Macaca fascicularis: one gene and its partners. The protein of the gene in region 2 binds, or shares a complex with, the protein of the main gene of each other region. Links are inferred from orthologs where the notes say so. Each region holds a gene or a part of one and is shown on either strand. Other genes may lie near its edges. The genes, in order: PLRG1, RBMX2, SCNM1, CWC22, RNF113A, CWC15 and SNRPD1.

Evidence for each region.
Region 1: RBMX2 (region 2) and PLRG1 share a complex: the UniProt entries of both Homo sapiens proteins name them as parts of the minor spliceosome. The link is inferred for Macaca fascicularis from reciprocal best matches to the Homo sapiens genes RBMX2 and PLRG1.
Region 3: RBMX2 (region 2) and SCNM1 share a complex: the UniProt entries of both Homo sapiens proteins name them as parts of the minor spliceosome. The link is inferred for Macaca fascicularis from reciprocal best matches to the Homo sapiens genes RBMX2 and SCNM1.
Region 4: RBMX2 (region 2) and CWC22 share a complex: the UniProt entries of both Homo sapiens proteins name them as parts of the minor spliceosome. The link is inferred for Macaca fascicularis from reciprocal best matches to the Homo sapiens genes RBMX2 and CWC22.
Region 5: RBMX2 (region 2) and RNF113A share a complex: the UniProt entries of both Homo sapiens proteins name them as parts of the minor spliceosome. The link is inferred for Macaca fascicularis from reciprocal best matches to the Homo sapiens genes RBMX2 and RNF113A.
Region 6: RBMX2 (region 2) and CWC15 share a complex: the UniProt entries of both Homo sapiens proteins name them as parts of the minor spliceosome. The link is inferred for Macaca fascicularis from reciprocal best matches to the Homo sapiens genes RBMX2 and CWC15.
Region 7: RBMX2 (region 2) and SNRPD1 share a complex: the UniProt entries of both Homo sapiens proteins name them as parts of the minor spliceosome. The link is inferred for Macaca fascicularis from reciprocal best matches to the Homo sapiens genes RBMX2 and SNRPD1.

What each region holds. Positions count from the first base shown.
Region 1 is NC_088379.1:159,465,751-159,469,826, reverse strand, and holds the start of PLRG1 (pleiotropic regulator 1), read left to right. Parts: upstream 1-1,276; 5' UTR 1,277-1,362; coding exon 1,363-1,371; intron 1,372-2,745; coding exon 2,746-2,852; intron 2,853-3,135; exon of another isoform or gene 3,136-3,207; intron 3,208-3,831; coding exon 3,832-3,974; intron 3,975-4,076. UniProt on the Homo sapiens protein: Involved in pre-mRNA splicing as component of the spliceosome. Component of the PRP19-CDC5L complex that forms an integral part of the spliceosome and is required for activating pre-mRNA splicing.
Region 2 is NC_088395.1:136,676,463-136,680,761, forward strand, and holds the start of RBMX2 (RNA-binding motif protein, X-linked 2), read left to right. Parts: upstream 1-1,499; 5' UTR 1,500-1,563; coding exon 1,564-1,568; intron 1,569-1,779; coding exon 1,780-1,895; intron 1,896-3,346; coding exon 3,347-3,398; intron 3,399-4,299. UniProt on the Homo sapiens protein: Involved in pre-mRNA splicing as component of the activated spliceosome. As a component of the minor spliceosome, involved in the splicing of U12-type introns in pre-mRNAs.
Region 3 is NC_088375.1:110,052,990-110,057,287, reverse strand, and holds the start of SCNM1 (sodium channel modifier 1), read left to right. Parts: upstream 1-1,498; 5' UTR 1,499-1,507; coding exon 1,508-1,558; exon of another isoform or gene 1,559-1,607; intron 1,608-1,832; coding exon 1,833-1,903; intron 1,904-2,259; coding exon 2,260-2,348; intron 2,349-2,445; coding exon 2,446-2,543; intron 2,544-2,650; coding exon 2,651-2,739; intron 2,740-3,754; exon of another isoform or gene 3,755-3,773; coding exon 3,774-3,968; intron 3,969-4,298. Other genes in the region: LYSMD1 (lysM and putative peptidoglycan-binding domain-containing protein 1), read right to left, coding at 435-614. UniProt on the Homo sapiens protein: As a component of the minor spliceosome, involved in the splicing of U12-type introns in pre-mRNAs. Plays a role in the regulation of primary cilia length and Hedgehog signaling.
Region 4 is NC_088386.1:75,564,267-75,568,561, forward strand, and holds the start of CWC22 (pre-mRNA-splicing factor CWC22 homolog), read right to left. Parts: upstream 2,801-4,295; 5' UTR 2,761-2,800; intron 1-2,760. UniProt on the Homo sapiens protein: Required for pre-mRNA splicing as component of the spliceosome. As a component of the minor spliceosome, involved in the splicing of U12-type introns in pre-mRNAs. Promotes exon-junction complex (EJC) assembly.
Region 5 is NC_088395.1:126,232,984-126,236,146, reverse strand, and holds RNF113A (E3 ubiquitin-protein ligase RNF113A), read left to right. Parts: upstream 1-1,465; 5' UTR 1,466-1,571; coding exon 1,572-2,606; 3' UTR 2,607-2,663; downstream 2,664-3,163. Other genes in the region: NDUFA1 (NADH dehydrogenase [ubiquinone] 1 alpha subcomplex subunit 1), read right to left, coding at 1,172-1,273. UniProt on the Homo sapiens protein: Required for pre-mRNA splicing as component of the spliceosome. As a component of the minor spliceosome, involved in the splicing of U12-type introns in pre-mRNAs. E3 ubiquitin-protein ligase that catalyzes the transfer of ubiquitin onto target proteins.
Region 6 is NC_088388.1:93,949,601-93,953,100, reverse strand, and holds part of CWC15 (spliceosome-associated protein CWC15 homolog), read left to right. Parts: intron 1-1,010; coding exon 1,011-1,129; intron 1,130-3,500. UniProt on the Homo sapiens protein: Involved in pre-mRNA splicing as component of the spliceosome. Component of the PRP19-CDC5L complex that forms an integral part of the spliceosome and is required for activating pre-mRNA splicing.
Region 7 is NC_088392.1:68,147,116-68,151,122, reverse strand, and holds the start of SNRPD1 (small nuclear ribonucleoprotein Sm D1), read left to right. Parts: upstream 1-1,207; 5' UTR 1,208-1,323; coding exon 1,324-1,337; intron 1,338-4,007. UniProt on the Homo sapiens protein: Plays a role in pre-mRNA splicing as a core component of the spliceosomal U1, U2, U4 and U5 small nuclear ribonucleoproteins (snRNPs), the building blocks of the spliceosome.

The DNA of each region.
Region 1 (4,076 bases), on a different chromosome or scaffold from region 2:
CTGTAATTCCTGCACTTTGGGAGGCCGAGAGGGGCAGATCACCTGAGGTCAGGAGTTTAAGACCAGCCTGGCCAACATGGTGAAACCCCGTCTCTACTAAAAATACAAAAATTAGCCGGGCGTGGTGGCGGGCGCCTGTAATCCCAGCTACTCCGGAGGCTGAGGCAGGAGACTCGCTTGAACCCAGGAGGAGGAGGTTGCAGTGAGCCAAGATTGCGCCATGGCCCTCCAGCCTGGGCGACAAGAACAAAACTCCCTCTCAAACAAACAAAAAACCATGACCTTAATGTTTTTAATGAATTTCCAAGTGACGTTGATTTACACTGCTATTCTTTTGCTAGATTGTTTCCCCCTCTCAAAGTGTATGCAGTACGCTGTCAGGACAGATCAGTGAAACTGAAACAGGGCCAGTAAAATGTTTTGTCTATTTAAGTTTGCAAATGCCCAAGTCCATCCATTTTTCTTTTTACATAGAAAAATAATTAGGTAGGGTTGATCAAAACCGGAGATTTTACCAGGGTAGGAAGCAAAAATACCAATACTTGGCACAAGGATATGTATAAATAAAAATGGCTAAAGTCTCCAATTGTGTCTTTCTTCTACCAGCTTTGAAAAGCTGTACCCTGGCATTGTTGAAGCCACAATAATCAGCAGACAACTAGGAAATGTCCAAGAGCTATGTAGCGTTGAGAAGTTAAAAAAAAAAAAATCTATTAGCAGAAAATGAATATGGGTTTTTCTTATATCTACATGTCAAAATTTTCCAAATTAAAACAGCCATTCCTCAACATTCACTCAGCAAGTGTTTACTGAACTGTTTAAGCGAAATTGTTTTCAGGTGTTAAGCCTACAAGTGTCCAAGTGCTTCTCGCCAGGATTGGAACCAGGAGACAGAAAGCAAGCAGGCGACCTCCAAAGAGATCAAGGCAGCGGAAGCGCCTTAGATAGAGCCCACGGGAGTTTGCTCTCCAGAGAGCTTAGGCTCTCTGAATAAAAAGCATTAAACTCCGGGGAATACAGCATGAACAACCAGGGCCCCAGCCAAGACATTGAAGGCTGAAGGTAAGGCAGAAAACATAATTCGAAGACTTCTTCAGAGGAGCGAGTGAAATCCTCCAGTCAGGCGCTTCCAGGTGTCTCCCCTCTACAGCCTCGAGCCTCCGCCCTAGGGGCGGTCCTGAGGAGGGAGACCCGCCTCTTGATCCCAGAGGGCCGGGGGAGACTAGCGCGCGTGCGCAGAGCTTGCATCACATCCGCCGCCTGGCCTCCCAATTCCGGAAGGTGCAGCACAGTTGTGGCGGCGGGTACTGCGTTAGTGATTAGGGTTTCTTCTCTGCCGGAGGTGGGATACGCGGTAGCATCATGGTCGAGGTAAAGTGACACTGGGACTCTCAAGAGTCGTTTGTCTCTGGACTGTTTTTCTTTGGCAGTGGGCTTGGGGGATTGAGAGTGCTTGGAGTCCGGAGAGAAAAGAGGCTACGAGGGAAGCTGTTTGGCCAAGGCCGGGTGGTCTCTTCATCGGGTTTTCGGGGAAGGGGTAGAAGCCGGATGAGAACCCGAGTCGGAGGTTCAGTCCGGGCGCTAAGCCTGAGATAATTCGTCCAGTCCTCGTTTGACTCTTGGGAGCTGGAAACTGTCCTTGGAGGCGGGGCCTCTGTTGGTGTTCGACCACTGGTACTCGCCGCCCTCGGGGCAGTGTCAGTGATTCTGTGCCCGAAAAGATTGGCGGTCTTCTCTATCTTGCGTTCAAGTCGTCTCTTATTTCAACTCTACTCCCAGAAAAACTTGCCATTCTTTACATCTTTCCCTGGCATGAACAGCCAGCCATTCTGTTAGCTGGTCTTGTCCATGTTACCCCACATGTTTATTGATTCCATTCACTTTTCTCCGTATCCACTGCAGTCCACCTTAATTGAGACCAACATCATCTTTCACCGGGCCTGGTGCATTAGCCCCCCGTTGATTTCCTTGCTTCCATTTTGTTCCATAAGTTGTTCTGTTTAAAATGTAAGTTGTTCATACCTTTCTTGTTTAAAACCCTTTACTGACTGTGTTGCTAGAAGAAAACATAGGCTGTTGTAATAGTCTAAAATACCTTACCTAATCTGGACCTTGTCTACCCTTGCAACCACAAAGCACCATCTCATCCACCATATACAGCTGTGCCGCCCTTCTTGTATTATTTCAGTTAACTGAACATTTTTTTACATGACATTTCCATCAGCCTGGTTCGTTTTTATCTCTGTTTTGTGCAAGGCTAACTCCCTTTCTGCTTAAATATCACTTTAGTGAAGTCTTTCACAATTATACTTAGTCCTTCGTTTCCCGACCCAGTGCCTTGCTTGTTGCCCTCATAGCACTTATCAAAATGTGGAATTATTTTACTTTTTATTTGTCTGTTTCCTCTTGAGCACAGGGACCATGACTACCTTTTATCATTCTATTGTGAGATTCTAGCACGATACCTGCCAGACACACAGTAGGAGCTCAGTAAATATTTATTGAGTAAATGACTAAACTATGGCATCACTCAGTTGCTATACCTGAGGTTCTAGCCAAAGAGGAGCTTCCTCCTCTTCTCTGAACTTGACTCCTGTAGCTCGCAACAAGTAGCTATGGTGAGTGGTATAAAGCTTTTTACATATTTAAACATGTGAAGTGTATAATCAATCTGACGTTAGGTTATGATTTGTGTAATTTGTAGATAGGTGTGTAATTACTTTTTTTTTTTTTTTTTTTTTTAAGGAGGTACAGAAACATTCTGTACACACACTTGTGTTCAGGTCATTGAAGAGGACCCATGACATGTTTGTAGCTGATAATGGAAAACCTGTGCCTTTAGATGAAGAGAGGTTGGTATAGTTTTTTTTTCAATTGCTGAAATATTTAACATTCTAATACTGGGGGAAGAGAGCAGGAAGAGGGAGACCTTTAAAGATAAACTGGCAATACTCATGGGCTAATTCAATAATGAGTGGTGTTTTGGCATAATTTAAGCTGATTTAACTTTTTTTTTTTTTGGCCTTTTACAGTAAAAGTTCCATTAATTAATTGCATTTTACAAATACCCAGTAATTAAGAGAGTCCCTTTTAGGTATTTTATTTTATAATCAATCACTTTGTATGTGCTTTCAGCTTCCCGCTGCTCTCAGAGCCTTGCTGAGCTGAAATTGTACCTGGCCAGTACCTCTACTCCCATCTTTTCTCGTTAGTATGATGAAGATTTTTGAGTGGTGGCATATTTTTGGTTCTACATATCCAGCTCCAGTCTGGGATTGCATTATGTGCAGTGTTCCTTCTTTGTCCTTTACCCTTTTAAAATCGACTTAACTCCTCAAACAAGCATTTATATTTAATTTGTAAAGTAGACTATTTTTAAAAGTAATATAAGTGCATTTCTTTTTAAAATATTGAACCAATTAAGTACTTTTCTTAGTTCTAACTAACCTGTTTGGATACATCTAGTAAAGGTTGCTGTAGAGTTTTTACTATATTTATATTTTGAAGGAAAGCGTATTGACTTTGAGGTTTCTTAAAGGGTATGTTAGTTTCTATATATCTTTCAAGCAGACCCTTGATAATTTATCATAAAATATTTTCTATTAGGTAACAAACTAAAATATTACTTAGGTTTAATGAATGCTGTGTGGTGGAATGTGAGCAAAAGAACAGATATGGTGGGGAAATGCACTTGGAAATTTTTGATTCTTTTAAATACTACTTAAAATCTTACTAGAAACTTTTCCTACATGATTGGGCAAACTTAAGCTGTCTAAGTGTTTGTTTTAAAGTATTTATGGATACGTTCTTATGTTTATAATTTCTAAATAGTCACAAACGGAAGATGGCAATCAAGCTTCGTAATGAGTATGGTCCTGTGTTGCATATGCCTACTTTGAAAGAAAATCTTAAAGAGAAGGGTCCTCAGAATGCAACGGATTCATATGTTCATAAACAGTACCCTGCCAATCAAGGTGAGTATGGTATTATCAGAAATGTCAGACGTATGTGTGAATTTTAAAAATAGAAAAATAAAATGTGTTATTTTTGCCCCTGCTGGCAGGACTTAGGTGTGG
Region 2 (4,299 bases):
GGTCCAAGAGCAGGTACTGATGTGGACATGTGCAAAATGGATTCAAACTGTCAATATGGGTTAAATCACATATTATATGTTAATCATCTCTTCCACTGGTTTCTAGATATTTCTGGTTGAAATCTATCAGGCAAATATATCTTGTCCCCTTAATTATAATATTAGCTCCTTGAGGGCAGAGGACCCAACCTGATACTCCTGTCTACAGACCTTAGCTGCACAGGACAAATCTAGATGTTCAGTAAGGACTGATTGAATCAACCTGACCTACTGGGTGCAGGTGCTCTAGTACCTTTCTAGTTAATTTATTCATTTGAGCCTCATTTCTTCCTCTACAAAACGAGGGTGGAAATTTCTTTTACTTTCTCTTTCTTTTTTTTTTTAAAAACAAGGAGTCTCGCTCTGCTGCCCAGGCTGGAGTGCAGTGGTGCGATCTCAGCTCACTGCAACCTTTGCCTCCCAGGTTCAAGTGATTCTCCTGCCTCAGCCTCCCGAGTAGCTGGGATTACAGGCGTGTGCCACCATGCCTAGCTAATTTTTGTATTTTTAGAGGAGACAGAGTTTCACCATGTTGGCTGGGTAGGTCTTGAACTCCTGACCTCAGGTGATCCACCTGCCTTAGCCTCCCAAAGTGTTGGGATGACAGGTGTGAGCCACCACACCTGGCCCCCCCTTTTTTCCTTTATTTTAGAGACAGGTTCTGCTATGTTGCCCAGGCTGGTCTCAAACTCCTGAGTTCAAGCAATCCTCCTCCCTCAGCTTCCCAAAGTGCTGGGATTACAGGCATGAGCTGCTGCGCCCGGCCAGGAATTGTAATTTTATCTGCTTCATTGGGTTGTTGTGAGGGTGGAGAGACAATACATGTAAATTGCTTAGCACATACTCTAGTATCATACAGTACATCATCTGCTCACTTGCTAGCTATTAATTTAACAATATTAATTTCTGTCTCCTGCTCAACTAGGAGAGAGCCTATGGAAAAGAGTAAGTGCAGCGGCTCTCATGCAAATCTGTAGGTATTCAATTCAGCCTATAGAGGCACACTGGTCTGTTGCCTATGTATTGGGATAAGAACAACAGAAGATTTACCTTTTCACCTATCTTCTTCACTTTTCTGCCATGACAGGGATGCTTTGATGGGTCTGTGCGTGAGCAACTGACTAAGAGCGAAGGTCCAAGTGGGACTCTGGACTGGGAGCGAGGGCTGAGACTAAAGTCGCCACATCAGGCTGCTTATTCCGTTCATTCAGCAAATATTTATAGCTAATCTAACCAGTTTCCGATATCGTTCAAGAGCTGGGGGTCCTGCAACAGCCCAGGCTCGTGCCTTTACCCCATTTCACAGAGGAGAAAAAGCGAAAAATTAGAGAAAAACCGTTTCTACAAGAGGTAACCGCAAAGAACGCGGAAGGCTTCTAGTGCGCAGGCGCCACGCCCCGGTACGCCCCAGCTCTTCCGGCGCGAGGTCACCGACTCGACGAGCCACCGGCGCCGGGGCCGCGCATGCGCGGCGCTGCCTTTCCCGGGCGCTGATTCCTGAATGCTGAGCGCGAGCCCGCGGAGATGAAGTAAGGCGTCAGCTTCCTTTTGAGGAACGAGCAGCGGGCCGCTGAGGGTGGTCTACTGGGGCTGGGGTGGTAGAGCGTCTGCGGGGTCGAGGGGCGGGAGAGGCGCGGGGACTAGAACACCTCGTCCCCTTGTTTTGCTCTTCTTCAGCTTCGGCCGGTTAGCATTTACTTGTCTGCTTTTCTGCCTCCCCTCACCCCCGCCACCGTGAAGTCCTTTAACTAAGGTGAAGCTGATCAACGAGCTGAATGAACGAGAGGTCCAGCTTGGGGTGGCCGATAAAGTGTCCTGGCACTCCGAGTACAAGGACAGCGCCTGGATCTTCCTGGGTGAGGTGCACATCTTTCTTCCGCAGTGCTCCCAAGATTCTCCTGCTCGGTGTCCGACTATTTCAGCATTTTCACCCTTCACTCCTGCTTACATTCATTGCCCTCCTTTATATCCATCTGCTGTCTGCCCGGGAATCCGTGTTCCATCTTTTTTTTTTTTTTTTTTTTCTGCCCCATTTTTAGTTTTCCTTCCCAGCCAAATCAGTGCTCATGAGAGTTACTGTTTGCCATTTGCTGTGCTAAGGTTCAGGGACTGTTGTTATTTCTCTCTCACCCCCTGACCCGTTATTACAGCTGAGGAAATTGGGGTGCAGAGAAGTTAAGGGACTTCCTTAAGGTCACATAGCTAATAACCGCAACAGGCAGAACTATAGCTTTCTAGAACTCATGGTCTTAGCCACAGCCCCATATTGCTACCACCGCCCTCCCCCATTCCCCTTCCCTTGCAGAATTCACTTTGCTCCTCTAGCTCCTGCTTTCTGACCATGGCCACACTACCATTACTGTATTCACTTTATATCACAACCAGTAATTGTACAAGTTTGATGCTTCAAAGAGGTTATTGTAAAAACGTTGTGCTAAGCACTTTATATGCATCGTTTTATTTAACTCTTATAACAGTCTTGCGAGTTACCTGCTAATATCCCCATCTTACAGATGAGGAAAGAAACATTTGGAAGGGAAATTATTCCCTAGGAAATGCTTAACAGTGTCTTTATAACCTTTGTCTATGTGTAGGTGGGGTTAATCATGACATATGTAGACTAATTTTGTATCATAGCTGTAAATTTGTGGGTAATGAGCAGATGAATTCAACATGTTTGTGGAAGCAGAGGTTTGTGATGGAAACTATCTGCTTTGCCCATAGGATTTTGGGTGCCAGGAGGACTGAGTGATCAGTTTACTTTTGTTAGTGGTGACACTGACTTCCACTCAAAATTAGTCACTCCTTTTCCTGTTCTACTGGCACCTTACATGTACTTCTGTCATTGCATCAGACTTGATTTCTTTCTTTCTTTTTTTTTTTTTTTTTTTTGAGTTGGAGTTTCACTCTTGTTGTCCAGGCTGGAGTGCAGTGACGTGATCTCGGCTCACTACAACCTCTGCCTCCTGGGTTCAAGCGAGTCTCCTGCTTAAGCCTCCTGAGTAGCTGGGATTACAGGTGCCCGCCACCTCGCCCGGCTAATTTTTTTTGTAGTTTTAGTAGAGACGGGGTTTCGCCATGTTGACCAGGCTGGTCTCGAACTCCTGACCTCAGGTGATCCACCCGCCTTGGCCTCCCAAAGTGCTGGGATTACAGGCGTGAGCCATGGTGCCCAGCCCAGACTTGATTTCTTTAAGGGCAGGGCCTGTTGCTTACTGTTTGCACCCCTAGTGCCTGGCCTAGTGCATGGTACGTAGTAAACACTTGGTAAATGTTGGTGGAACTGAAATGTGGTTTTCTTTTCTAGGAGGGCTTCCTTATGAACTGACTGAAGGGGACATCATCTGTGTGTTCTCACAGTAAGTCCCCTTTCATTTCCTGCCTCCTGAGTCGACAGAGTACTTTTTTCTGTAATGCATTTTGTGGCATCACAAAAACCACTTATTTTCACTCTAGGCTGAATGGTGTCCCTGCATGGGGAGGGCTGGAGCTTCTGCTCTAGTCTAGATCAGTCCCAGGACATGGTTCTAGAATGTTCTCCTGTGGGAGATCCAAGAGGTTTGTTAATTTGGGAGGCCATCTTGGGGATTCTAGTCTATTTCTGTTGTTTTTCACTGAGGTTTGTTCAGCCTGGGCCTAGACTGGAACAGACTGGAACCCTCAGGAAGGTTCCATATTGGTACGCCTCCTTGGGCTCTTGCAAACTAGGGGTAACCCATGGTCACAGGGCCCTTCTGGTCCTTGCCTGTGTGGCATCATACGACTGGGGCAAACCACAGAGGAATTGGGATGAAAAACAGAAAGAAGGTTGTAGTTTGCTTTCTTTGATTCTCAATGAATGTAAGGTTAGTGAGCAAAGCCAATCTCTACCTGGAGGCTGAGAATCACAGCCTGACGAGGAACAAGAATGAATAGGAGATCTGTATATTCTTCATTCTGCTGAGGTGTTGGCAGCAGCATTTGGTGGGAGAGGGTGTTGGTGGCTCATACTGGTAGTAGCAGCTAGTAGGAGAGGGGCTGGGCAGCTGGCCTGCAACCCCAGAGGTAAACAGCACAGTTAGTCCACAGGGCCAGAGGATCTTGGCACAGGTGCAAAGGACCACTACATTTGGGTTTTGTAGGCCTTCAGAGCATAGTACTGTTTCAGAGAAGTTGGACAGCATGTACAGGTAGCAGACCATGGCAAAAGGGGCTGGCCAAGCAAACACAGGTAGCATACACTGGCAGAGGGATTGCTATGGCAGGATGGTAGGGCCATCC
Region 3 (4,298 bases), on a different chromosome or scaffold from region 2:
ACTCTCAATGTAAAATTTTCTGTGTGGTTTACAGAGTCAGACAGACCTGTTTGAATCCCATATCTGACAATCATTATTTGACCTTAGTCAAAATGGTTAACCAATCCAAGTCTCAGTTTCTTCATCTGCCAAAAGGGAACAATAAATGTATACTTGATATGGACGTGAGGGTGAAATGAGCTAACGTATGTGAAGCCCCTAGCACAGTGTCTGGCATGATAAAATAGGAGCTGTTCCTCTCCATTGGAATAGTAGAGCAGAACTTGTCCCAACCACGCAGTGCAACACTGTGATGGGAAAACAAAGATAAAGGCAGAACAGAGTTCAACACATTAGGAACATTTCAGGGGAGGTTACCTAGAAGGTCCACTACATTCTTCTCAGGACTAAATCCCTCCTGACTCTTGTCTGCACCCCAATCCTGGAAAACTCACCGTCACCCCATATTTGAGTGCTAGTCCAGCCAGGGTGTCTCCGGGCTCCAACTGATGCTCCAGGCGTCTTTCCCTCACTGGGGAGCAGGCCGATTGCACCAGGCTTCCATATGAACGAGCCCGGCTCCCGTGAAGCAGTCCTGACCCCCCTGGCGGGGGCTGTCTAGACGGGGAAGCCATCTCTTCACCCTGCCGACAGCTAGGTTGCAACTAGGGGAGGCCCGACCGAGACTGCGAGTGACAGGCCTGAAGTCTGGGAATAGATATTCAGGGGATTCCTTTCCCCTTCTCTCTTCCCCTGTGTCCCCGCCTCCCCAGCACTACGCCACCTGCCCCCTCCCGGTTTCTCCTCCCTCCAACTCCTTATCCACAAATCTGTCCCTTGAGTATTCAGTCCCTCCCTGATTCGCCCCTAAGCACCCCTCCGACTTTGAACTCCCCCACAACTCCTCGCTACATTGACCTCTGACCTTTGAACTCTAGAAATAATCCTCAACACTCTTTCCTCAGTTTGCCCCCAAGTAGCCTGGCCTCAGGGCGCTCCCACATCCCAGCTCTGCCCGGTCCCGGGGTTTGTTTGCTAGAGCCAGGAACAAATCAGGCCCACCCCAGGTGAACTGTCGCCGCAGACGAAGAGCGTGAGGATTGCGAGAATTTGTAGTACACCTTCCACTCAGAGATCCTCACAGGTCCGCTCCGCATCAGATAGGTCACACCCTCAAATTTCGGCTCCACATCTAGGTTCTTGTCCCTCTAAACGCCTCAGATCCACCAAGATGCAAGGGCCTGGATCCAGCTGAGCGGCAAGGTCTTTGAGGAAAAGACTTCATTTCCCAAAAGGCGTCGCGTCTGCAGAGTCGCACGGCACCATAGGAAATGCAGTTCCCTCCACGCGCCAGAGAGTGGATATCCGGATGGCGCAATGCATGCGTGGAAGTGCATTCCCGGAAGTACGGGGGCCGACAGGAAGACAAAGAGAAAAGAGAAGGCGCTGTCCCGCTCTTGCTACGGTGGCCTAGAGGAGTGGCGAAACCGGAACAAGAAAATTTATCACTCTGGGACTCACAGTCGTGATGTCTTTCAAGAGGGAAGGAGACGATTGGAGTCAACTCAATGTGCTCAAAGTAAGCGTGAGCGGAGAGGATCTGCAGCCTCTTCAGTCGCTCTCTGAAGGTTGGGAAGGAGCGTTGTTTCATTGCTCTGGCAACAACTCGGGGGTGCAGGAGAGAACCAGGCGACTTAGAGCTGTGTAGTGACTCCTTTTTCGGTCTATGATCGCTGTTCTCCCCAGGGTCCTTATGTCCTTATTCCGTTTGACTCCTCATTTCTGTCATTTAACTTCCATCCCTCTCTCCTATCCTGCTGATCCGTCCGGATTTCTTCCCCTACTCCCTGCAGAAAAGAAGAGTCGGGGACCTCCTCGCCAGTTACATCCCAGAGGATGAGGCGCTGATGCTTCGGGATGGACGGTAAGAGCGAGGAGTGGCTCAAGCCTGAGGGTTTTGCGGTTAGAGGCTCAATAGCTGTGTTGCCCAGGCTGTCCTTGAACTCTAGGGCTCAAGTGATCCTGCCTCCTCAGCGTCGCGATTAGCTGGGATTACAGGCGCACGCCACCACGCCCGGCTTCAACAAACTTTTGTTATTAATTAGGACAGCAGAAGTATCTAGGATTCTTTGGCGGCTAGTGAGGACTGGAAGAAGTGGAGATTGGGTCACCAGGGAGTTGGGTTTTGCAAAGACTGCTAGGACAGGGTGGGACTTACGGCAGGGACAGGCCCAACCCTCTTCCCCTGGACCAGTTATCCTCTTCTCTACCCCTGCTCAGCTTTGCTTGTGCCATCTGCCCCCATCGACCGGTACTGGACACCCTGGCCATGCTGACTGCCCACCGTGCAGGCAAGAAACATCTGTCCAGTAAGTTCGGGGGAAGACAGGGGATGGGGAATAAATCGAAATCTCTGCACACCAGCCTTGGTGCTATGCTTTTAATTCTGTTTCCCTTTCTCTTCAGGCTTGCAGCTTTTCTATGGCAAGAAGCAGCCGGGAAAGGAAAGGAAGCAGAATCCAAGACATCAGAATGAATTGAGGAGGGAAGAAACCAAAGCTGAGGTAATCAGAGAGTGGAGAGTGTGTTCTAGGCAAGACCCTGCTGCACACACCAGGCTGGAAGGGCAGAGGGCTGAAGGCTCTGACTCTGTCTCCCATCTTCTTACCAGGCTCCTCTGCTAACCCAGACACGACTTATCACCCAGAGTGCTCTGCACAGAGCTCCCCACTATAACAGTTGCTGCCGCCGGAAGTACAGGTATGGGAGGGGAAAGCCAGAGGTAGGAAGGCTCGGAAGGAGATAGAGGGCTCTGAAAGTGTTTTCCAGTCTGTATTCTGAGGAATACTAGCGTTCTGGAGATGTTACTTAGTGTTTCAAGAAAAGGAGAATTTTGGCCGGGCACGGTGGCTCACACCGGTAATCCCAGCACTTTTGGAGGCTTAGGCGGTGGATCACTTGAGATCAGGAGTTCAAGACCAGCCTGGCCAACATGGTGAAACCCCGTCTCTACCAAAAATATAAAAAATTAGCTGGGTGTGTGGTGTGTGCCTGTAATCCCAGCCACTCAAGAGGCTGAGGTGGAAGAATTGCTTGAATCCGGGAGGCAGAGGTTGCTGTGAGCCAGGATCATACCACTTCACTCCAGCCTAGGTGACAGAGTGAGACTCCATCTCAAAAGAAAAAGAAAAGGAGAATTTTGTGATTTTTAAATAAAGTTTGGGAAATGGCACTTTGTAATTCTACTTGAAGAGTAACAGTTTTAGGCCGGGCGCAGTGGCTCAAGCCTGTAATCCCAGCACTTTGGGAGGCCGAGACGGGTGGATCGCGAGGTCAGAAGATCGAGACCATCCTGGCTAACACGGTGAAACCCCGTCTCTACTAAAAAATACAAAAAACTAGCCGGGTGAGGTGGCGGGCGCCTGTATCCCAGCTACTCGGGAGGCTGAGGCAGGAGAATGGCGTAAACCCGGGAGGCGGAGCTTGCAGTGAGCTGAGATCTGGCCACTGCACCCCAGCCTGGGTGACAGAGCAAGACTCCATCTCAGAAAAAAAAAAAAAAAAAAAAAGAGTAACAGTTTTAAAAGCTATACAAAGTCTTAAGAATTAAAAAAAAAACTTGTAAAATTTAAAGCTAGCCTTTCCCAAATTCATGATTCTAAAATCCTTTGTATGCAGAACTTACTAATATCTTGAAAAATATAGTTTAAGAAACACTGTTTTAAGAGGTTGGGAGTCATAGGAGAGTTGGCCCTTTCCCTTACTGCTTTTACAGACTATTCTTCTCTACCTAGACCAGAAGCCCCTGGTCCCTCTGTCTCCCTTTCTCCTGTGCCACCCTCAGAGGTCGAACTCCAAAGCGGGAAGATCAGTAGGGAACCTGAACCTGGGGCTGGCCCACAGGCTGAGGAGTCAGCAACTGTCTCAGCCCCTGCACCCATGAGCCCCACAAGAAGACGAGCCCTGGACCATTATCTCACCCTTCGAAGGTGAGTGTGCCTAATCAGTTTCCTCAGATTTTCTTTTCTCTCTGACCCTTCTTGTTTCAAAGCTTTTTTTTTTTTTTTTTTTTTTTGAGACGGAGTCTCGCTCTGTCACCAGGCTGGAGTGCAGTGGTGTGATCTCATCTCAGCTCACTGCAACCTCCGCCTCCCAGGTTCAAGCGATTCCCCTGCCTCAACCTCTCGAGTAGCTGGGATTACAAGCATGTGCCACCATGCCTGGCTTATTTTTTGTATTTTAGTAGAGGCGGGGTTTCACTACGTTGGTGAGGATGGTCTCAATCTCCTGACCTTGTGATCCACCCACCTCGGCCTCCC
Region 4 (4,295 bases), on a different chromosome or scaffold from region 2:
AAATGTGTCACCGTGCTGTCTTCTGGGTGGTCTCAGGTACAAGCCACTGTAGGTCATTCAACAATGTTCAATCATGGGGAAGGAGAGTTAACTTCTTTTCTTTTTCTTCTTCTTTTTCTTGAGACAGAGGCTCACTTTATCACCCAAGCTGGAGTGCAGTGGAGTGATCTCGGCTCACCGCAACCTCCGCCTCCAGGTTCAAGTGATTCTCCTGCCTCAGCCACCCGAGTAGCTGGGGCTACAAATGCACAGCACCACACCCTGCTACATATTTTTGTATTTTTAGTAGAGACAGGGTTTCACCATGTTGGCCAGGCTGGTCTCGAACTGCTGATCTCAAGTGATCCGCCTGCCGTGGCCTCCCAAAGTGCTGGGAATGCAGGCATGAGCCATCGCGCCCCAACAGAAGAATTAACTTCTAAAAATTCAACAGCTGGGAAAGCTAATAGAGCTAAGAAAGCTCGCTTAGAAAAACCAGGTAGTCTAGGAAGTGTCAGAACTCCAAAAAGTGATTGGAGGTAATCTATCCAAAGCAGGGAAGGATGTGGTGGCATAATAATAAATACTGGCTGGCCATGGATCAAGTACTTTGGAGCAAGGAGGGAAACAAACCTGATTCTGAGGACAGGGGGAGGATGAACCATAGCATGCCCCTAAAAGATGGGCTAGAGCAGAAGTTTTCAAACTAACTGGCATGAGAATCACTCGAACGCTTTGGCGCAAAAAAACCCAAAAAAAAAAACAAAACTGTTGGGCCTGCATTTCTACGTTTCTGATTCAACAGAACTGGGTGAAGCCCAGTAATTTACATTGCTAATAAGCTTCAAAGAGATGTTGCTGATTCAGGAGACCACATTTTTGGAACCACTAGACCAGGGTATTAGATCAAAGTTCTTGGCCTTTAACTTATAACCAAGACGGTCTCAGAGCCCCAGTCAATTGAGTTGGGTAAGACTCCATAAAAGTGGCATGGACACTTAAAACTAGAAGGGCACTGGCCGAGCGCAGCGGCTCACCCTGTAATCCCAGCACTTTGGGAGGCTGAGGTGGGTGGATCACGAGGTCAGGAGATAGACACCATCCTGGCTAACATGGTGAAACCCCGTCTCTACTAAAAATAAAAAAAATTAGCAGGGCGTAGTGGCTGGCGCCTGTAGTCCCAGCTACTCGGGAGGCTGAGGCAGGAGAATGGCGTGAACTCGAAAGGCGGAGCTTGCAGCGAGCCAAGATCCGCCACTGCACTCCAGCCTGGGCGACAGAGTGAGACTCCGTCTCAAAAAAAAAAAAAACCTGGAAGGACACTTAAAGGTGGAAAGGCAACACTCAGACCCAGAGGGCAAGAACTGAGGCACAGACAGAACTCATCAACTGTATCATAGTAGCAATTTACAATAATACAAAGCTAACACTGTATATCAGGCACTGTGCTCAGTGCCTCATCTGCATTATTTTCTTTATACTCAAAAAAAGACAACACAGTGAGGCAGGTATTGTATTATTACCTACATGTTTTCAGATGATGAAGCTGACTATATATAATAGAGACTTTAACTTGCTCCAAGTGACAGACCTAATAATAGCTAAATAAAACTGAAATCTTTGGTCTACTAGTCCATCACCCAGGACCAACAAAAGTAGCTTTCCTCAACCTACTGATAAGGCCTGTAACAAGGCTTCTCCTCTCCTGGTCAAAACCACACTTTTAATGTCAATTTTAAATCTGCCCTTGCATAGTAGGATAATCTGTGTTAACTCCTGAATTCACAAGCAATCCTACAACAAGATAAGTCTAAATACGGATAAGAGGTAGGTTAACTGATCTGCTGAGGACCCAATTTGTTTGTTTATCTGCTATTTCGAGTCTCTGCACATCCAAAAATGCAAAGGAAACTCTTACCTAATTCTTGCATCTAGAATAGCCTTTCTCCAAATCCTGCCTTCTCCAATTACCTCAAAAGAATTGTTAGGATTAAGTGGAAATAGGTATGGTAGTTTTTGCAGTTAAACTCAGTGAAATTAACGATTATATTTCCGTTCTATAATGCTGTGTTACAGGACCCAAAGCTCCTTAGAGAGGTGGAGTCTGGACACCCAAGTTTAGCAGTTATTACCTCATTGGAGATAGTTCAAGTTATGTAAGGATCAAGAATGACAGGTGAAGAGGACACAAGAGAAGCGAAGCGTCTTCAAAACTAAACTCTAGAAACTATCAGTATTTACAGGGCAAATAAATGAAAAAGAAACCGCTAATGAAACGTAAAACAAATAGCCAAAGGGATATAACGCCGGAAAGAGGCATAAGAGTGCAAGTACTTCAACTAACTTTTAATCAACTAGAGCTCATTAATCCCACTCCCCAGGCACTGGGAAAGGGGCTTTGGCAAGCCCAATGGACTCCAGAGGCTCTAAGTATAAAACACACCGCACACGAAACAACAGAGCACCAGCGTTGGTGCAGGACTTCAGACAGCTGCAGGAACCTCACAAGGAAGGTCAGCCGGTCCGCTCAGGCAGTCAGTCAGTTCACCGCAGCCCATTCGCTCCCCACCCGCTTGGACTCCTCGGACCCAGCCACTCTCACACCCCTCTCGCGGGCCCGAGCGTGGCGGGAAGACCCACGCACACTCCAATGCCGCTCACAGCCGTATCAGTGAGCCCGCACCCACTCCTCAGGGTCTTTCACTTCCCACCCGACCCGACAACCCGCCACCCCCGCTCCGCTTCGGTGCCTACGGGGACTCCGCGGAGTTCGATAATTACCTAAAGCTGCACCGCGCCGCCATTACACCGGATGTACGTCACTTCCTCTTCCCGAGCACCGACAGTAGGAACAAGGCAGATACTGAAATACATAAAAACTTGACGCTCAATTGGCTTGACGCGTTATCCTTTTAATTTATTTCAGATACCATATCATAATGCCAGAGTCAAAGCAGTCGATCCAGGCACACTGTATTCTTATCAAAATGGCGACTAAAAAGAAGTTGGCATGAACTACAAAGTCCGAAATCCAGCACCTGTGCTGACGGAAATGACGAAAGCATAATTGTAGTTTAGCGGTGAAATGGCGCGGTGTACGATGGGAATTGTAGTTCATACAGATGCGCGCCAGCGAGTTAACATCCACGCTGCTGACTGGCAGCCTAGCAGTGTTTAGGGTCTAGGCAAATTTACTTTAATCTAAAAGTATTTCACTGCATTTTGGGAATTTTTTTTTTTTTTTAGTAGTCAGTTGTCACTTTCCTTGAAAATCTTAAGTGAGAGATTTTCTTGAGACTTTTTTTTATAAGAGTTTGACCAAGAGTCAAGTGCCTAATAAATTCCAAGACATCCAAGCCAAGAGAATGGGAGAATATTAGATCATAAATAGAGTGAAATAATGAGGAAAAAATAATTCTGTAGAGACTATGTTGCCTGTCTTTTAAGGTAAGGTACCAACTGGTATGACCTGAGAATAAGGAGATTGCCTGGCTGAGTAGGAAGTAGCAGTTTGTACAGCATGCAGAACTAGGGCATCAAACAAATTGTTTCTTTAAACTTCACTTTTCACTAGTAACAAAACGTAAAAGTTCAACTACTTACTATTTTGGAAACTCTCTTTCTAAAACAAGAATATCTTTATGTTATCAAATCTTTCATAAACCAGGCCTGATTTCTCCACACACTTCTCTATTACAGTTTTAGGGTGCTGTGCTTCCACTCCTTTCTGGAGGCAAAGTGTGAGAATTAAGAATAAAAACACTGCAGTTGGACTACTTACGTTTGAATCTTGAGTCCTTTGATTATTTATGGATGATTGGGGCAAGTAACTTCACATTCTGTGGCCGTTTCCTGATCTGTTAAATGGAAATACTAGTAGTACCCATTCATGCAGTAGTTGTAAGAATTGAATTAGTTGATTCACAAGATACGTTTAAGATAATTGCTAGTATACAATAGTGTTATCTATTTTATTTCATATTTAAGATATTTGGCCATTGTTGATGGTGCACTTTGGTGTACCAATACAGGGCACAGGAGATGGATCTGGAGATGAACATTTGTATTTATATATTTAAAAACCCACAATACTATCTGTGATGGTTAATTCTGAATATCAACTTGATTGGATTGAAGGATGCAAAGTATTGATCCTGGGTGTGTCTGTGAGGGTGTTGCCAAACTGTTGACAACTGTTTGTTGTCAAACAGTTGAGTCAGTGGACTGGGGAAGACAGACCCACCCTCAATCTGGTGGGAACAATCTAATCAGGTACCAGCGAAAATAAAGCGGGCAGAAAAACGTGAAAAGGCGAA
Region 5 (3,163 bases), about 10 Mb from region 2:
AAAATGCAAATTAGTAGTACAAGAACAGAATCTCCTAAATAAAATCAGACCACTACACTTTAGGATTAAGTTGGTGACCGTGACTTCTTACACTATTTTAACCAACATGAATTTTTTTTCCTTTTTAAAAAAAAGAAAAAAAAAAGAAATATCTAGTTGTTGCCTTTTGGGACACTAAGAAACAACAGCTGTAGATCACACGTGGACAATCACAAATTCAAAAAGTAAGTAAATTTATACTCTGTACTCTAGAGATGATGTGAAGGGCTAAGAGGGGAAAATGAATCCTGATGTAAAACACAAGACCTTGCAGTAAATTCCTAAACGCTTGCAAGAGAAAGTGGGGAATAAAAAAGTCAAGGGTGGCCGGGAGCGGCGGCTCACGCCTGTAATCCCAGCACTTTGGGAGGTCAAGGCGGGTGGATCACCTGAGGTCAGAAGTTCGAGACCAGCCTCGCCAACATGATGAAACCCCCGTCTCTACCAAAATAAATAAATAAATAGCCGGGCGTGGTCCCGGCTACTCAGGAGGGTGAGGCAGGAAAAATTTTTTTTTTTTTTTTTGAGACGGAGTTTCGCCCTTGTTGCCCAGGCTGGAGTGCAGTGTCGCGATCTCGGCTCACTGCAACCTCCGCCTCCTGGGTTCAAGCGATTCTCCTGCCTCAGCCTCCCGAGTAGCTGGGATTACAGGCATGCGCCACCACGCCCCACTAATTTTGTATTTTTAGTAGAGATGGGGTTTCCCCATGTTGGTCAGGCTGGTATCGAACTCCCGACCTCAGGTGATCCGCCCGCCTCGGTCTCCCAAAGTGCTGGGATTACAGGCGTGAGCCACCGCGCTCAGCCAGGAGAATCTCTTGAACCCGGAAGGCGGAGGTTGCAGTGAGGGATTCTCAGGCTTGAGCCACCTCTTCTAATCTACCTTTCCGGCCCCCGCGTCGCTACTCTGCCCTAAGGCCCACTTTGATACACCCAGAAACGCTGTTTTTCACCAGAGCAGGATGTGGTTTCTACCGCGCTTCGTTTCGCAAGCCTCGGCTTCTAGGCAACCGGAAGAAAGTAGAGGGCCGGCCTCGGAGAGAGGGTCCGCAGGCTGACGGCCTCTCTGCCCACCATCCTTTTCAGAAATCAGCCAGTGGAGTCAGCCCCCGGGCCCAGGAAGCCGCCTTACCTTGCCCCCGTTAGTGAACCTCTGGATGTACGCAGTAGCCAGTCCTGGAATAAGCAAGCACACGCCCATGGCGGCGAGTCCGGGGAGAATCTCGAACCACATCTCTGCCCCGTTATCTAGGCCAAAACCCTACTTCTGGGTCCTTGAAAGGTGACCGGGCTTCGGCTCCCTTCCCAGTAAGCCCCGCGGCCGCCCGCGAGCGGGGCGGTGCCACGTACGGCTCCGGAGGAAGCGACGGGATCTGCCAGGGCTCAAGAGAGGCTGGCGCTCGCGCTCTCGCAGTTCTCTTCCGTCAGTGTCTTTTGCTTCGACTCCCGGCGGAGCGCGCGACGTGGAGTAACGCGCAGAGGCCAAGTGCAACCCAGGCAGCGACGGCCGTTTCGGAGCTCGGGACTCTAAAATGGCAGAGCAGTTTTCTCCAGGGAAGACGGCGGATCAGGTGTGCACCTTCCTTTTCAAAAAGCCTGGGCGGAAAGGGGCTGCTGGACGCAGAAAGCGCCCGGCCTGCGACCCAGAGCCCGGAGACAGCGGCAGCAGTAGCGACGAAGGCTGCACTGTGGTTCGACCGGAAAAGAAGCGGGCGACTCACAATCCAATGATACAGAAGACTCGTGACAGTGGTAAACAGAAGGCAGCTTACGGCGACTTGAGCAGCGAGGAGGAGGAGGAAAATGAGCCCGAGAGTCTCGGCGTGGTTTATAAATCCACCCGCTCGGCGAAACCCGTGGGACCAGAGGATATGGGGGCGACAGCTGTCTATGAGCTGGACACAGAGAAAGAGCGCGATGCACAAGCCATCTTTGAGCGCAGCCAGAAGATCCAGGAGGAGCTGAGGGGCAAGGAGGATGACAAGATCTATCGGGGAATCAACAATTATCAGAAATACATGAAGCCCAAGGATACGTCTATGGGCAATGCCTCTTCCGGGATGGTGAGGAAGGGCCCCATCCGAGCGCCCGAGCATCTACGTGCCACCGTGCGCTGGGATTACCAGCCCGACATCTGTAAGGACTACAAAGAGACTGGCTTCTGCGGCTTCGGAGACAGCTGCAAATTCCTCCATGACCGTTCAGATTACAAGCATGGGTGGCAGATCGAACGTGAGCTTGATGAGGGTCGCTATGGTGTCTATGAGGATGAAAACTATGAAGTGGGAAGCGATGATGAGGAAATACCATTCAAGTGTTTCATCTGTCGCCAGAGCTTCCAAAACCCAGTTGTCACCAAGTGCAGGCATTATTTCTGCGAGAGCTGTGCACTGCAGCATTTCCGCACCACCCCGCGCTGTTATGTCTGTGACCAGCAGACCAATGGCGTCTTCAATCCAGCGAAAGAATTGATTGCTAAACTAGAGAAGCATCGAGCTACAGGAGAGGGTGGTGGTGCTTCCGACTTGCCAGAAGACCCCGATGAGGATCCAATTCCCGTTACTTAGCTGTCTGATAATTCTTAAATTTAAATAATAAATATTTTGTTCTTTTGGAAGTCTTAATTCGTGTCCTTCCTTTGTAGAGACAGTGACAGAGAAGGCGGGTGGTGAAGTAGGGTCCTGGATTAAAAACCTCAAGGTAGGTATAATCAGGATTTTTAGCCCTAGGATAACCATTTTGCCTGTGTTTCTTTTCAGAACACTTTGGCATCAATTATAGGGGTGGGAGTAGTTTGAGAAAAGAGCTATAATTTGCTTGAAGTAGCCAAAGCTATGACGAAAGTAAGAACTCTGAGCCTGTTTATCATATCACATTTCTGTATCACTTAATAGTTTACAAAGTACTTTCATGCATTCTTTCTCTTGGGAGCCTGTACTACAAAATATACCGGAGCCAAGGTGTTGGGGAGAGGGGTTGCGTTTGGGGAATTGGTAGCTAGTACCACAGGCTTCACATATGGGAAATGTTCCTTGCTGTCTGGGTTATTTATTTATTTATTTATTTATGAGACGGAGTCTCGCTCTGTTGTCCAGGCTGGAGTGCAATGGCGCGATCTCAGCTC
Region 6 (3,500 bases), on a different chromosome or scaffold from region 2:
GGATGATTTGACTTTGAAGAAGTTGATGCTAAAATAAAAGTGAAGAAAGACAGTGTTGTAACTGATAAAGGATGGGAGGTATAAAAATAGAAACTGAGGCCGGGCGCGGTGGCTCACGCCTGTAATCTCAGCACTTTGGGAGGCTGAGGTGAATGGATCATGAGGTCAGGAGTTCGAGACCAGCCTGGTCAACATGGTGAAATGACATCTCTACTAAAAATACAAAAATTAGCTGGGCATGGTGGCGCATGCTAGAGGCTGAGGCGGGAGAATCAATTGAACCTGGGAGGTGTAGGTTGCAGTAAGCCGAGATCATGCCACTGCACTCCAGCCTAGGCAACAGAGCGAGACTCCGTCTGAAAAAAAAAAGAAAAAGAAAAGAAACTCAATAATAAGTCAATAAAAACAAAATAGATCAGCCTCAGGTAAATTAGTAGAAATTCATGTTAACTGGATATAATTTTGTACATGGTAGTTTGTCCTATTTTAGGAGTTTTCTTCATTAATAACTTCTCACCAAACCTAGAGACGCAAGTTTACATTATTAGTAATTCAAAATAAGATTAAATTAAATCACAGTTATGTATGACCCTTTAAAATTGAGATAATAGTTTTGCTAAATGTGTCTTTTTGATATTTAATATGTTCTTAAATTATTAGAATATGCTTATTGATATACGCTTAAAATTTAAAGCTATTAATTTTACATGTACTTCAAGAAAGAAAATAGATTTAAATATGAATCTCTAACATTTCACAGTTGGAAGAGACTGATATCAACCATGAAATATTTATAATAAAAATGCCAACTTATTTTATTTTGATGAGGGAGACTTTTCTAGTATGCCTCAAAAACCAAAAAAAAAAAAAAAAAAAAAAAGCCTGCCTTGATGCTTTTCTTGCCGTAAAATCCCAATGATCTGTTTTTTTTTTTTTCAGTGAGCTAATATAAAAAAAATTGAACCCAGAGTTAAAATAAGTAAATACTAATCTTCCTTTATCATTGACAGGAACAAGAACAAAAAGCTGAAGAAGAGAGGATTCGTATGGAAAACATTCTGAGCGGAAACCCTCTCCTTAATCTCACTGGCCCATCGCAGCCTCAGGCCAACTTCAAAGTTAAAAGAAGGTACTATACAGTAACGGAGTAATGAAGTGTGTGTGTGTGTGTGTGTGTCTATATGCACAGGCATGCAGATTATAAGTTGGATAGCAAGGTGCATTATATGAAGCTTCTAAAAGTCCACCGTTCGTTCACGGATACTCTTCTCTGTTCAATTAGGAATAATGGAAGAAGCTAAATGAAAGAAAATTAACTTATTTTCAGTAGATAGTTGCAATAACCAGCTGTGTACCAGATAATGATGTAAGCACTAGGGACAGAGTAATAAACTGAGGCCCTTACATTTTAGGTATGCGTATCAAGGGTCCCCAAGATGGCCTCTCACATTCAGACACTCACTGGAAGAACTCAGGGGACTTGGCATATAGTTACATGCTTGGCTAAGGTAATAAAGACACACAGCTAGATTATAAAGGGAAAAGACACACACGGAGAATGGATGAATCCATGCGCAGGTTTCACTATGCTCTATCCCTTCCATGAGTGGTCACACAGCACATTGTTTCCCCCAGTGCAGCAACGTGTGCAGTGCTGCTGCCCAGGGAAGCCCATTAAAGATCCCATGCCCAGGGTTTTTACTGGGCGTGGCTAGTCATGTACGCAGCTTTTGCTTAGCACATAGCAAAATCCAGACTCTTAAAAGGACAGTAGGTGTTCAGCATAAACCACATTATTTGTAAATTGTAGGCACAGTGACAGTGAGAAGATTTCTTAAATCCAAATTTTCAAATGCCAGCCAGGGGCCAACCTTGGAAGCAGGCATTTCTAAGGATTGTGGTCCCAGGCCTGCTTTTTAAATTCTTTCTGTACAGTGTGTGTGTTTGGAGGGGTAAAAAGGAGGGCTGAAAAGGGAGGAAGTATAAATTGTAAATACTGTAAATCCTTCAGATGGTGATATGTAAAATAAAACAGAAAAGCTTACAGGAAATGTTGAGGAAGGAAGAATGGTTGTTATTTTATATGCATTCATCAAGGAAACACAGTGCTTAACTTTTAAACCATATTCGTTATTTTTCACCACCTCTACTGCTATTATTTGCCATCTAGAGTGATGCAGTACTGCTACCCGCCCTCCCCTCTGGAGTGATGCAGTACTACTGACCGCTTTCCCCTCTGGAGTAATGCAGTACCGCTGATACAGTTCTGGAATTAGTCCAAGCTGGAGATAGTAGATTTGGAAGTTATCAGCTCAGATAAACTTTCTAAAGCCATAACACAGGATGAAATCACCTAGGGAAGGGTATAGCTAGAGAGGAGAAGTCAGAACTGAGCTTAGTATAATGTTTAGAGGTTAGGGAGATGATTAGTTACCAATACCTGTTCTAATCATCTACCCAACCTCTAAACATTATACAGGTGCCTGATAAATATTGATTGAATGAATTTTGAATGAAAAAGTCTAGGCTGACAAGCAGCAGCCAGTTGGGAAGAGAGGAGAACTGAAAGAAGTGAAACCAAGTGTTTCAGGAGGAGAGGAGTGATCATTTAGGACAAATACTAATGTCAGGAAAGAGCATTTTGGTGTTGGGAAGGAGGGACAAAAAGCCTGTTTGGAGTTGAGGAAAGACTGGATACAGAAAAAACTACTGATTATATATAAAAATAAAGCTATATAGTTTGTTTTTTTGCTTTTTTTGAATGCAAATGGAATTGGAGACAGAAACATGTCTTATATCCCAGTCATATTGATCTGCTCAGCTTCTTATGCTTCTCTGTATACTGCATCAGTGATGACTTTACTGCACTATTTTCCAAAGGTGCCCACGTTTGTTGCTCGTTGTGCAGTTTCCCACATTTGTTCCCATGTGCAGTTTCTCCTGGCATGTAAGCGCATACACACATACACACACTCATGATATGGGTTTGTGTTTTATGTATATTTGTGAGGGTATCTATATTATGTATATGGGCAGCTGTTTTATATGCTAGATGATATTCTGAAATCATGCTCTTTATTTTCTATAACACATGTATTTTATAACTTACTTATGGATTTTTTTTTCACACTTATACCTTATGGAATCCAACCAGAGTTCTGCCCTGAGTTCTTCGGCTGGTACTTCTCCGTGGTTAACGTACATGTGCGCCATATCTGAGCCTTAATTATTACACCCCAATGATTGCTTCTCCTTTTGTTGGCCTGTAATGCAAATATTACAGTAGATGATTACTAAACATTAACTGATAAAAGAGGAATATCTACAATCCTCAAAACCACATAATCTAAACTACATTAAATTGATTGGCTACTATCATCTACAAATGCCTATACTAATATTAGGGTAGTCCTAGGTGCAGCCTCTTTGTATTAGACCTAAAAACATTAAATATTTATGCAATTAAAATCTATGTATTTCTATTTTTTAACTCAAAAGTT
Region 7 (4,007 bases), on a different chromosome or scaffold from region 2:
GAGAGGCTGAGGCACGAGAATCGCTTGAACCGGGGAGGCAAGGGTTGCAGTGAGCCAAGATGGTGCTACTGCACTCCAGCCTGGGCGACAGAAGGAGACTCTGTCTCAGAAAAACAATAAAAATAAATTTTGAGGAGATGTTGTGAAAGATGAAGATTGAAAAGTTTGTCTTATAGATCGGAACTTAAAGTGAAAATAATCCGCTACATTGTGTGATTTTATTTTTTTATTTTTATTATTTTTTGAGACGGAGTCTCGCTCTGTTGCCAGGCTGGAGTGCAGTGGCGCGATCTCGGCTCACCGCAACCTCCGCCTCCTGGGTTCAAGCGATTCTCCTGCCTCAGCCTCCCGAGTAACTGGGACTACAGGCGTGTGCCACCACGCCCAGCTAATTTTTGTATTTTTAGTAGAGACAGGGTTTCACCATGTTGGCCAGCACGGTCTTGATTTCTCGACCTCGCTATCTGCCCGCCTCGGACTCCCAAAGTGCTGGAATTACAGGCGTGAGCCACAGCGCCCGGCTCATTGTGTGAATTGCTTCAGGTACATTAAGTAATGCTAAGGTTCCTGGCGTTGGAACAGAATTAGCATAATCCTTTGGGCTTCTCTAAGAACTTATTTTCGTTCAGTGAGGAATTTATATTAGGTGCTGCACTCACGGTGCCCTGCTATTCAGAAACGTGATGGTGACAGTACTAGTGTGTGTGTGTGTGTGTGTGTGTGTGTGTGCGCGCGCGCGCGCGCGCGCGCGACGGAGTTTCGCTCTTGTTGCCCAGGCAGGAGTGTAGTGGTGCGATCTCGGCTTACTGCAACCTCCGCCTCCCGGGTTCAAGCGATTCTCCTGCCTCAGCCTCCCGAGTAGCTGGGATAACAGGCGCCCGCCACCACATCCGGCTAATTTTTTGTATTTTTAGTACAGACGCGGGTTTCACCCTATTGGCCAGGCTGGTCTTGAACTCCTGACCTCAGGTGATACCCCCGCTTCGGCCTCCCAAAGTGCGACAGTCCTATTAATTGGATTTAACCTCTTCGAATCTCCTTCTCTTGTGGGACACTTTTCCTCTTAGACCAGCCCTCAACACCCTCAGTCGTGGCAAGGCAACCTCCAGCCGCCAGGGGCCGCAGTCGCGCTCCTCGCGACCGGAAGAGAGTGCGGCCCAGCGCAGCCTCGGCGTTTCCGCCGTGCGTCTGCTGTGCTCCGCGCGCCCTTTACGACCGGAGTCCCTGGAGTAGGCGCTTCCGGCCATTCATACTGCAGTTGGTCAGTATTCGGTTGTTGGATTCTGTGCGCTCTCGGACCCGAAGGGTGACGGCGCCGCTAGGATGAAGCTCGTGAGGTGAGGGAGTGACCAAGCAGCTCTGGGGGCTGTGGAGGGAGGGCTTGGCCCGGAGTCCGGAAGGCTGGGCTCTCCCATTTGCAGGAGGCGGGAAAGCCGCGTGTGCGCGGCCTGCTAACGGCCGGCCTTACTGCGCCCGCAGCTCGTGCTCGGGCCTGGGCTTCTGCCTGGGTCGCTCGCGGATCCCGCGTGTCTTCCAAGATACTGGTATAAAGGCCGAGCCTTTTCTTCCCGCCTAGTGACTTAGAGACTTTCAAGGTGCAGCGCCGCCTGGGAGACATCTCGCCCTTACAGTTACTGATTTTCTTTTTGAGTGGAGCTCCAGCCCTACTTAAGAGTACTTAGAAAGCTGTATGAGCTTATCTGGAAACAAACCTGTTTGCAAACTGTTTTAAATCAGAGAAGGACTTCTGGCTTCACAAGTTTTTGTTTTTGTTTTTTTTTAAATAAGACGGTGTCTCACTTTGTTGACCAGGCTGGTCTCGAACTCCTGGGCTAAAGCGTTCTGCCTGCCTCGCCCTCCCAAAGGGCTGAGATTACCGGTGTGAGCCACTGCGCCCGGCCGATTTTTAAGTTTATCTTTTGATTCTCCTTAGACTTATGATTGATTATTCTACCTCTTTCCTGTTAAGGTAAGCTTTTTATTTAGGAAAATCTCCCAATATAGGGCAGAAATTATCACAACGTAATTGTGGCTGATTACCCAGATGATATATAGTTATTCTGTTTTATTTCTTTCGCGAGAAATAGACCCTGTCACTTAGGTGAGTCTTCTGGAGACTAATTCCAAACTACCTGCGAGTAGATTTGGTTTTGGTCTTTTTCCTTGAGACTGAGCCTGGAACAGAGGCAGACGTTTCTAATAACTAAGCCATCGATTATAAATATTTAGCTTGTTTCTTTCCTGTTGAGTCAAGGATTGTCATTATCCGCTAAATAGTTATTGGGCACCTGTTACCTACTGGGCGCTGGTAATAGTATTTTTTAAAAGGCAGATCCTTGTTGGAGCTTTCTAGTTAGGGGGATGACAGACAAGTAGATAACGTTTGTTTGAAACGTTTTAAATAACACATAAAAGCCTTCAATATTCAGGGAGGAGGCCAGGCGCAGTGGCTCACGCCTATAATCCCAGCACTTTGGGATGTCAAGGCGGGCAGATCACTAGGTCAGGAGTTCGAGACCAGCCTGACCAACATGGTGAAACCCCGTCTCTACTAAAATTACAAAAATTGCCCGGGCGTGGTGGCGCGCGCTTGTAATCCCAGCTACTGAGGAGGCTGAGGCAGGAGAATCGCTTGAACCCAGGAGGCAGAGGTTGCAGTGAGCTGAGATTGGCCACTACGCTCCAGCCTGGGCAACAGAGCGAGACTCCGTTGCAAAAATAAAAAAATAAAAAATTCAGGGAGGAGTTGGTACAAAAGACAATTAAGATTAATTTTTGTTGTATTTTTATTTGAACTATAATTTTGGATAGGAAGTCATAGAATTTAAAGTGCATTTTTTAGGCTGGACGCGGTGGCTCACGCCTGTAATCCCAGCACTTTGGGAAGCTGAGGCAGGCGGATCGCCTGAAGTCAGGAGTTCAGGACCTGCCTGGCCAACGTGGTGAAACCCCGTCTTTCGAAAAATACAAAAATTAGCCGGGCGCCTGTAATCCCAGCTACTCAGGAGGCTGAGGTAAGAGAGGCGCTTGATCCCGGGAGGTTGTAGTGAGCCGACGTCACACCACTGTGCTCCAGCCTGGGCAACAAAGCGAGACTCTGTCTCAAAAAAGAAAATTACAACATTTTTTGAAATTTCTCCATACCTGCTAATCTGAATCTTAATCTACTCATAGTTCAATTTTATGTAATACACCTTGGATTTCATTTGTTCCCTTTAAAGATATTGCATGTTATGGCAATTTTCCAGTAATTTTTAATAGCTGGACTGAATCCTGTTTTGTGTCTTAGGTCAAATATAGAAAGAAAATTTTTTTCTTACCAGAGAATGTATTTTTCCTCCAGAAAATGATTGTTTGACTAACTGGTTTGCGTTTTCAGTAGACTAATTTCTGTATATCAGTTGGTAGTTGTCATCCTTATTCTCACTGTCACCCTAACCAAAAACCTGGGAGGTGAGCTTGACTTTTTCTCTCCTGATGTCCTTGACATTTGATACACTGCCAGTTTTACCTACTGCATAAAAGTGTCCCACATTTTCCTGTTTGTTTTTTGGGTTCAGATAGTGTGTTTTGATACTGAGGGACACCGTGTTATCTGACTATTTGATATCTAAGTTTCACTAAGTAGAAAGAATTCAGATACTGAAAGATTCGTCTGAAAATAAGTTGAATCCATTTGGTTCCTGGGTTCAGTTAGGGAGGGATAATTGTGTATTTGTCCTGCCCATAGTAGCCTCCTTTCGTTCCGGTCACCACCATTGAGGTTCAGGCCCTTTTTATCCCACTCATGGATTTTTGTTTTCCTTCTTTGAGGTGAATATCTTAATACAATGAAATGCAGCGTATATTTCCTGCTATTGAAAAACATAAGCACTTTTGTAACCTAAACCCCTATCAAGAGAAGTAACATTACCAAAACCTCAGTTTCCTCAAGCCTTTCCCAGGCAACCTCTGACTCCATACCCCTAGATGCAACCAATTTCTTCCACCATACATGAATTTTGCCT